Callithrix jacchus: one gene and its partner. Each later gene encodes a partner of the first gene's protein in a complex. Links are inferred from orthologs where the notes say so. Each region holds a gene or a part of one and is shown on either strand. Other genes may lie near its edges.

Evidence for each region.
Region 2: the proteins of LPL (region 1) and GPIHBP1 are in contact, whole or in part, in a crystal structure (PDB 6OAU), measured with the Homo sapiens proteins. The link is inferred for Callithrix jacchus from reciprocal best matches to the Homo sapiens genes LPL and GPIHBP1. Residues at the interface, in NP_000228.1 of Homo sapiens: Tyr367, Gly368, Thr369, Ala371, Glu372, Glu374, Leu403, Met404, Lys406, Lys430, Lys440, Ile443, Cys445, Ser446, Arg447, Glu448, Val463, Lys464, Cys465, His466, Asp467, Ser469; in NP_835466.2 of Homo sapiens: Cys68, Lys69, Ser70, Leu92, Ala94, His95, Gly96, Asn97, Thr98, Glu99, Ser100, Leu103, Thr104, Thr105, Ser107, Trp109, Cys110, Thr111, Asp112, Ile117, Lys119, Val121, Glu122, Thr124, Val126, Met128.

What each region holds. Positions count from the first base shown.
Region 1 is NC_133514.1:21,539,626-21,543,433, reverse strand, and holds part of LPL (lipoprotein lipase), read left to right. Parts: intron 1-2,183; coding exon 2,184-2,363; intron 2,364-3,808. UniProt on the Homo sapiens protein: Key enzyme in triglyceride metabolism.
Region 2 is NC_133517.1:54,364,815-54,368,722, forward strand, and holds the start of GPIHBP1 (glycosylphosphatidylinositol-anchored high density lipoprotein-binding protein 1), read right to left. Parts: upstream 2,293-3,908; 5' UTR 2,265-2,292; coding exon 2,079-2,264; intron 1,587-2,078; coding exon 1,481-1,586; intron 1,045-1,480; coding exon 919-1,044; intron 759-918; coding exon 714-758; intron 1-713.

The DNA of each region.
Region 1 (3,808 bases):
TTTAAAAAGTGTAAGTAGGAAAAAAAAATTTTTTATTGAGATGGAGTCTCACTTGCTTGCCCAGTCTAGAGTGCAGTGGCTGATCTTGGCTCACTGCAACCTCCACCTCCCAGGTTCAAGCGATTCTCCTGCCTTAGCCTCCTGAGTAGCTGGGACTACAGGTGCCTGCCACCACACCTGGCTAATTTTGTATTTTTAGTAGAAGTGGAGTTTCACCCTGTTGGCCAGGCTGGTCTTGAACTCCTGACCTCAAATGATCCACCCACCTCGGCCTCCCAAAGTGTTGGGATTATAGGCATGAGCCACTCTGTCTGGCCCAGAAAAAGGAATCTGTAGAGGCACTTTGGTTATATACAGAACTTGGCTTTGAATACTTTTCAAAAATTTTGAGCTTAATAAACACATTTATACAACAGAAATAAACTGAATGTCTCAGACATCTCAATCTTATCCCTGAGAGACTTGGGAAGTTGTGGAAAAACATATTTGTTTTTTATACTAAGATGACATCACCAACCCAATATCAACAGATGGTGCCACTTCTATCATCGGTCCTACAGCCCCACTAAGCCCACCTGCATCTTTCATATCCTGCGTCCTGACACTTTGAGTGCCTGAGCCCAGAGACTGGTGTCTGGCTGTGGGACTGAGTTGGGTCTGTGCAAGAATTAAGCCAGCCACGCTGATCTTGGCTTATCTCAGTGAACTCACTGGCAGGGTCAGGTGGCCCACCTTGTACAGGTGGCAGGGAGGGCTTCAGTTCAGCTGCGTGTCTGAAAACCAAAGATTTAAAACATAGTAATTACTGAACCTCAGAAGAAAAGCTCAGACTGAAAGGACTTAGAAAATAAAACCCTTTTTGAGTTGCCGAAGGTGAGTACTTAGATTTTTCACTCACTTTGTTTGGGGTTACTTCCATCAGTGTTTTATGTTCATCAGATATAAAGGATTCAATTAGTTGGTGTGCAGTTAATAAAGGTGTCAGCCACTATAGGAGTAAGTCGGATGGCCAGCCCTTTTAGATTGCTTAATGTAGAAACACTGAGCTGGGCACGGTGGCTCACGCCTATAATCCCAGCACTTTGGGAGGCCAAGGCAGGCAGATCACTGGAGTTCCGGAGTTCAAGACCAGCCTGGCCAACATGGTGAAACCCCATCTCTACTAAAAAAAAAAAAATGCAAGAAAATTAGCCAGGTGTGGTGGTGTGTGTGTAGTAGTCCAAGCTACTCAGGAGGTAGAGGCAGGAGAATCACTTGAACCAAGGAGGTGGAGGTTGCAGTGAGTTGAGATTGTGCCATTGCACTCTAGCCTAGGGGAGACAGTGAGCCTCTGCTTCAAAAAAAAAAAAAAAAAAGAAAAGAAAAGAAAAGAAAAAAAGAAACAAATGCTGGTAATACAGAAAAACTTATAACAGGACCTAGAGTTAACCAAGATTTTCTTGCTTTATCTGAAAAAGGCTGCCTGGGGACTCAAGGGCACAGACTAAGGGCGACAAGGAGGCTCTCTAGTTGTGTCACTAGAGACCTGAAAGAACTCTTAGCATGCAGCATGCATGCGATACATTCCAGCCTGCTGCTTAGACACAGCTGTCCTGCAGCTTTGCCACTTGCCTGGATGACACTGGCTTTAAGTACAGGGTTTCCATTGTGAAGTCGGAGACCCTGGCTAAAACAGGGAGCCATGAACATTATATTCTGAAGAAATTACATCTTATCTTGATCCTGAAAGTCAACTACAAAGGGTACCCAATGCCCCAACCTTGAGAAGGTGAGATAGGTAGGGAGGAGAAGGTGAGTGGGGTAGGAGCGATTCCTCAGGGTTCTGTTCCCAGTCAGGAGCTCCTGCTAGTTTCCTCAAAGACCCATTTTGCATTCAGACATATCTTTCCTTCTAATAGTATAAACAATCAAAAGTTTACTGAATGTCTAAAATATACTTTTAAAATGGAAAGCATGGTGAACTCCAATCTGCTGTTCCTCAACTCAACCCATCCCTTCCTGCTGTACTTAGATCTGCTTTGGAAGGGACAGACCTGTATGAACACTCTTCCGGTATTTGATTTTTCTATCTGTGCCAGTGGACTTCCAAGTTTGTTTTTTCCATCTCATGCAGGTGTATTAGGCTGACATATCTATGACAAGTGGTAGGTGGTATTTTAAGAAAACTGTGTCATCGTCTTCAGGTAACAGGAATGTATGAGAGTTGGGTACCAAAACTTGTAGCCGCCCTGTACAAGAGAGAACCAGACTCCAACGTCATCGTGGTGGACTGGCTGTCACGGGCTCAGCAACATTATCCAGTGTCTGCGGGCTACACCAAGCTGGTGGGACAAGATGTGGCCAGGTTTATCAACTGGATGGAGGTAAGACTGGGAGAAGAAGACTTATGTGTCCAAAACAATGTTGTTGACTGGAACCAGACAAATGGCTGTTCTTTCTTCTTTTTCTCTTAGATATAAAGATATAAATATTTTCTAGGGTCAATTCAGAACTTCAGAATGAACATGGGTATTATTTTATAGCCAAAAGCACCATTTTGATAAGAACAGTCTATAAGGACAATAATAGTCCTACAGTGCTCTATTGTTTGATATTTTCATAGTGAATAGATCTGCTGAGATCAAGAACTAAGTGGGCCCAACAGACAAAAGCTTGTGATTTCAGGACAAAGGAAAGATGGTATGTCCCGCCAAATCCTTCCCCACCAGTTGGCTGGCCTGTGGACATTTTATCCTCGCCTTGATATACCAATCTCTTCTATGAAAACATTAGTATTTATTCTTTAGTGTGGAATAAGGATGAATATTTTTTTTTGAGCATTAGAAAGTGATGTAATGGAGCTAGGAAGATGTTGGAAGGGAAGGTGCATAGGATAGAAGGGAACTGAGGTCGAGAGTTCTGACTTAGCTGCAAGAGATCCACTTTTTCAGACCATTCCCTAAAAAGTACCTCTAAAAAGTATGCTGGGAGGCCGGGCGTGGTGGCTCAAGCCTGTAATCCTAGCACTTTGGGAGGCCAAGGCGGGTGGATCACGAGGCCAAGAGATCGAGACCATCCTGGTCAACATGGTGAGACCCCGTCTCTACTAAAAGTACAAAAAATTAGCTGGGCATGGTGGCGCGTACCTGTAATCCCAGCTACTCAGGAGGCTGAGGCAGGAGAATTGCCTGAACCCAGGAGGCGGAGGCTGTGGTGAGCCGAGATCACACCATTGCACTCCAGCCTGGGTAACAGGAGTGAAACTCCGTCTCAAAAAAAAAAAAAAAAAAAAGTATGCTGGGGTTGGAAGGAAGCGAATACTCTGACAGAGGCAAATTATTTTAACCAGGTAGTTGGAAGTAAAAATAAGCTGTATTTATTAGACTGGCCATCAAAGGACAAAAGTTCTTTTCTTGGTTCTTTTGCTGACCAGGCAAATGAACACCGGCAAATGGGATCACCTTTCTGGGGCTCAGGCTTCTCACCAGTTAAATGAGGGGCTGGACCATGTGTCTCTGATCCTTCCTACTGTAATGTTTCCTGAGTCTATCATTGCTTGGCTAACCTTCCGTGATAAAGTGATACAGGTATTTAGAGTAGGGAATGATGGGAAAATACATACCCATATACTACATACACAAACATATACACATACACATACATGCATACAAATGTGTATATGTTTGTACATAGAGTATATGGTTATATATGCAAATGCATACACATATACAAATATGTATAGATATATTACATAATAAATAATGCTATTTCAGATGCTTGGAAAGCCTTTGTAATTTAAATCTGTTATTAAAGAAAGAGAAAATCTATA
Region 2 (3,908 bases), on another chromosome or scaffold:
CCCCAAAGCCTAGCCTGCTGAGACTTCGGTACCCGCTGCTCAGATGGGCTGGTGACCCCAGCTTGGCCCTGGGAACTGTGCTATGCACGTGAGCCTGTGTGTTCAGGGCTGAGGGATTTCGGGCCAGGAGGGTGAACTTTCCCTTATCACTCAGCTCCCATGACAGTTCTGCCCAGGCTCCTGCTGTGGGATGGAAGACCTGGCAGTGAGTCCGACTCAGTCCTGCCTGCGGGAGCACCAGGCCTGGCAGAAGAGGACCTCACAGGGGACACCTCGTGGGTGTGTGGGTTGGGGCTTGGGCTGAGGGCAGGCCTGGGGGCTCTGGGGCGGGGGTGAGCTGGGTGTGGTGGGGCGTGCTGGGAGCCCCGGCTTGAGGGGCCAGCAGTGGGTTGGATGCAGCAATTTGCTCTGCTTTGTTCTTCGGATGGGGGAGAGCAGAGGGTGGCCCCACTGTGCAGGGGGCGTAGGAGTGGACGCTGAGGGTGGGCTCTTACTAGCTCCACTCTGCTCTGCTTTCAGCGCTTCCCTGGCTCCCCAGCCTGCAGCAGGCAGTCCAGCCCTCCCCTGCACAGGGCTGCCCACCTGCTGCTCCCTCTGCCCCACCAAACTGAACCCAACCCTGGGGCCCTGCACCTGCTGTCTCCCTGGGCCCCACTGAGCCCTTCTCTGCCGGGTGAGCTCCTGTCTAACTTCTACATCCTGGCACCACTCACTCCCAGTTGGTGGCTTCTTCCTCTGTTCCCGACTCTGGAAGGCAACTGAATGTCATGGTGACTGGGAGAAGTGAGGGGTGCGCTGGGCGTCCCCCACTCTGCTGGAGGTAAACTCACAGCAGGGCTTTGGCCTGTTGGCTTCCACCACAGGCGGGCTCCCAGAACGCTCCAAGCAGAGCAGGGCCCTGGGGTCGGGTGGCTGTACCTCTGTCCCTGCCACCAGGGAGCCTGTCAGTCTCCTCTTCCACCTCATCCTCATCTTCCTCATCGTAGCCATCTGGCCTGTAGTCCTCCTCCTCCTCCTCCTCCTCCGGCTCTGCCTGCCCTCTCCCTGGCGGTGCAAAAATGCTTGTAAGCCTCAGCTACCCAGATACTTGGGATACCGGCTCTGGGCAAGTGTTGTGCTCCCCACTCCTTGGCACCCCCCACCTCCACAGGCCCCAGGGCAGCCTACCTGGTGTCACCTCTGGCCCGCGCATGCCCTGCTCACTGTCCTGCAGCCAAGCATGCCCTGGCATTGGCGGTACAACAGCAGCTGCTGTGGGCTGGCACTTTATGATGGCCCCTCCTCACACCCCACGTAAATAGGGCCACAGATGTTTGGGGACTCTCGGGGGCCCAGGTCAGCTTCCATTCATGCCCCTCTGGCCTGGGGGCTCCCGCCTCATCCCCTCCTTCTCCCTAAGCCCCTGCTGGGGGTCCCTGGAGGTCCTGCTCCGGGACTGCGCCTGCTGCCCCCCACCACAGGGTTACCCTTTGCTCTGTACCTGGCCACCTGCATAGAAGCAGGACAAGCAGGACAGCTCCAAGCACCTTCATCTCGCCGGTCGCTGCTGTGTCCCTGACTCTGAGTCCTTGTGTAGGGCTCTGGAGCTGCGGTAAGTGGGATGAAGGGCATTGCTGGGGGCTTCCCAGTGGCCCCCACCAGCTCCAGCCTCAAACAATGGGCCTCACACTGGTCCCCAGCTCCAGGCGCCAGGCCAGGGACTGTCGTTTCCCTCCAGGACCTCTGGGGCCAGAGGGGAAGGATAAGTCATTGTGGTTGGCCTTGGAGCGTCCTGTGCACCTGTACTATGGCGGCTGAAGATGGTGCTGGCCACAGGAGCTGCTGGCCCTGCCCTGGCTTGCTGCTCAGTGCCTCAGCCCCGCAGGGCAGGACAGGGAGTCTCGCCTCTGATTAGGCCATGCCTGATACCCCCAACCCCGTGTCTGGGCTCCACAGCCACAGGAGCTTGGGTCACAGACCCTCTATTTGCCAATCACTGGCCAAGCATCTTCATCCCAGAGCCAGCATCCCACCCAGGCCCCTTTAAGAGTGTTTAGATAAAAACAGTCAATGCCCGCAAGCTAAGGCTGTGTATTCACCTCTTCCTCACCCCCACTCAGCAGTGTGTTTGCTGGTCCTGAGGCCTCCTGACTGCCCCTCACTTCCACCTCCAGCCTTTGCCCCTGCTGTTCCCTCTGTCTGCAGTGCTGTTCTTGCTTGTGTCCTGTGGAGAGCTTTCCAGAGCTGCTGAGCCTGCTCCCTCGGCCTCCAGCTGGGAAAGCCATCAGCCTTACCTCCCTTCTGGCCTTGTGTGAGAGATGGCTGCTCTGGGAGAGGCTTGGCACCCCCAGGCCTCTCCCTGAACCAACCCCCTCCACCAAAGCGGATGCAGAGCCCCTAGGGGAGGATGCAGAGGGTAGAGTCCAGGCTCCGAGCTGCCCCTCTCCCTAGTGCAGCAGAGGGGTGGGGCAGCAGCCAGGGTTGGACGGGAGCCCGGAGCCAGGGTCAAGCCTGCACATCTGTGTGCTTTGGAGCTTGGGCCATCCACATCCCTCTGGCCTGGGGACTCCAGCCACATCCCCTCCTTCTCCCTAAGCCCCTGCAGGGGGTCTCTGGAGGCCCCTGTGCTCCGGGACTGTGATCGCCTTCCGAGACCTCAGTTTCGCCGACTTTCAACGGGTGGGGTGGGGCATTTTCTGGCCTGCCACCTGTAACAGAGGTTGAGTTGGTTCTGGAATGAGCCGCCTGGGTTTAGGACCAGGTTCTTCCTTCCCCAGGCTTTGGGTCCTGGACTAGCCCCTTGGGTTTGCCGGGTTTCAGCTCCTTCATGGGATGAGGTGACTTGCTGGGCTTAGGGCAGCGCCTGAGGCTGGGAATACCTGTCTCTGATGTCTCAGCCACCTTCGCTCATCTCGAATCTGTCATTCTTTCCACTCCGCGGGCACCCACCCAGCGTCCAGACCTTCCCAGTCCAAGGCTGCAAGGCCACTTTCCAAGCCAGGGTCGCCCACAGCGGTGCTCATGCGGACACACCCCGCAGGCCCCATTCTCTTCATACCTGGTGCCATTCCCCCCAGCCCAGCCCCGCCCGTCTGCCTGTGGTCTCACCCCAACCTGCCTCCCAGCACCTTCTTGCTTTCCGCCCGCCTATCCCACTGCCCCGCCTCCCTATGGATTCACCTCCCCACGGACCCGCCTCCCCTGAGCCCTCATCCAGCCCCGAATGGCCCTCTCCCTGCTTTCCCCAAGGCCCGCCCCGCCTCCCCATCGCTCCACCTCCCCGTCGCTCCGCCCTCAAGCCCGCCTCCCCATCGCTCCACCTCCCCGTTGCTCCGCCCTCAAGCCCGCCTCCCCATAGCTCCACCTCCCCGTCGCTCCGCCCTCAAACCCGCCTCCCAATCGCCCCGCCCCCCCATGCCGCACCTCCCCCGCGCCTCGCCTCCCCGTCGCCCCGCCTTTCTGGCGCCCCGCCTCCCCACACTCTACCTCCCCATTGCCTTGCCTCCCATTCGCCCTGCCTCCTTGTCGCCCCGCCTCCCCCACGCCCGCCTCCTTGTCACCCCGCCTCTCCGTCGTCCCGCCTCCCTGCTCTCCGCCCCGGCTCCCACTACAGGCCCTTGAATCTAGTGCTGCAGGAGCTGCTCCTAGGAAGGGCGCTACTGGGGTTCTCAGGACTGTTGAGAGCAGGGAGTCTCCACCTGCTGCCTCCCCTCTCCCGGGGCCCAGGCCCTTGCCCCTTGCCTCCCTCTGGGCCCAGCTTCTCCTCAGCCCAGGTGCAGACTGCCCAGCCCAGGCCAGGGCTTATTGCGGAATCACCTAAGGACAATCAGAGCACATTTGATTCGCAGATTGAGTTAAATTTAGTGCTCGCAGCTGAGTGGCTGTTCCCTCTGTCCCGCCCAGGAAAGGCTGCTGGGTCTGATCCAGCC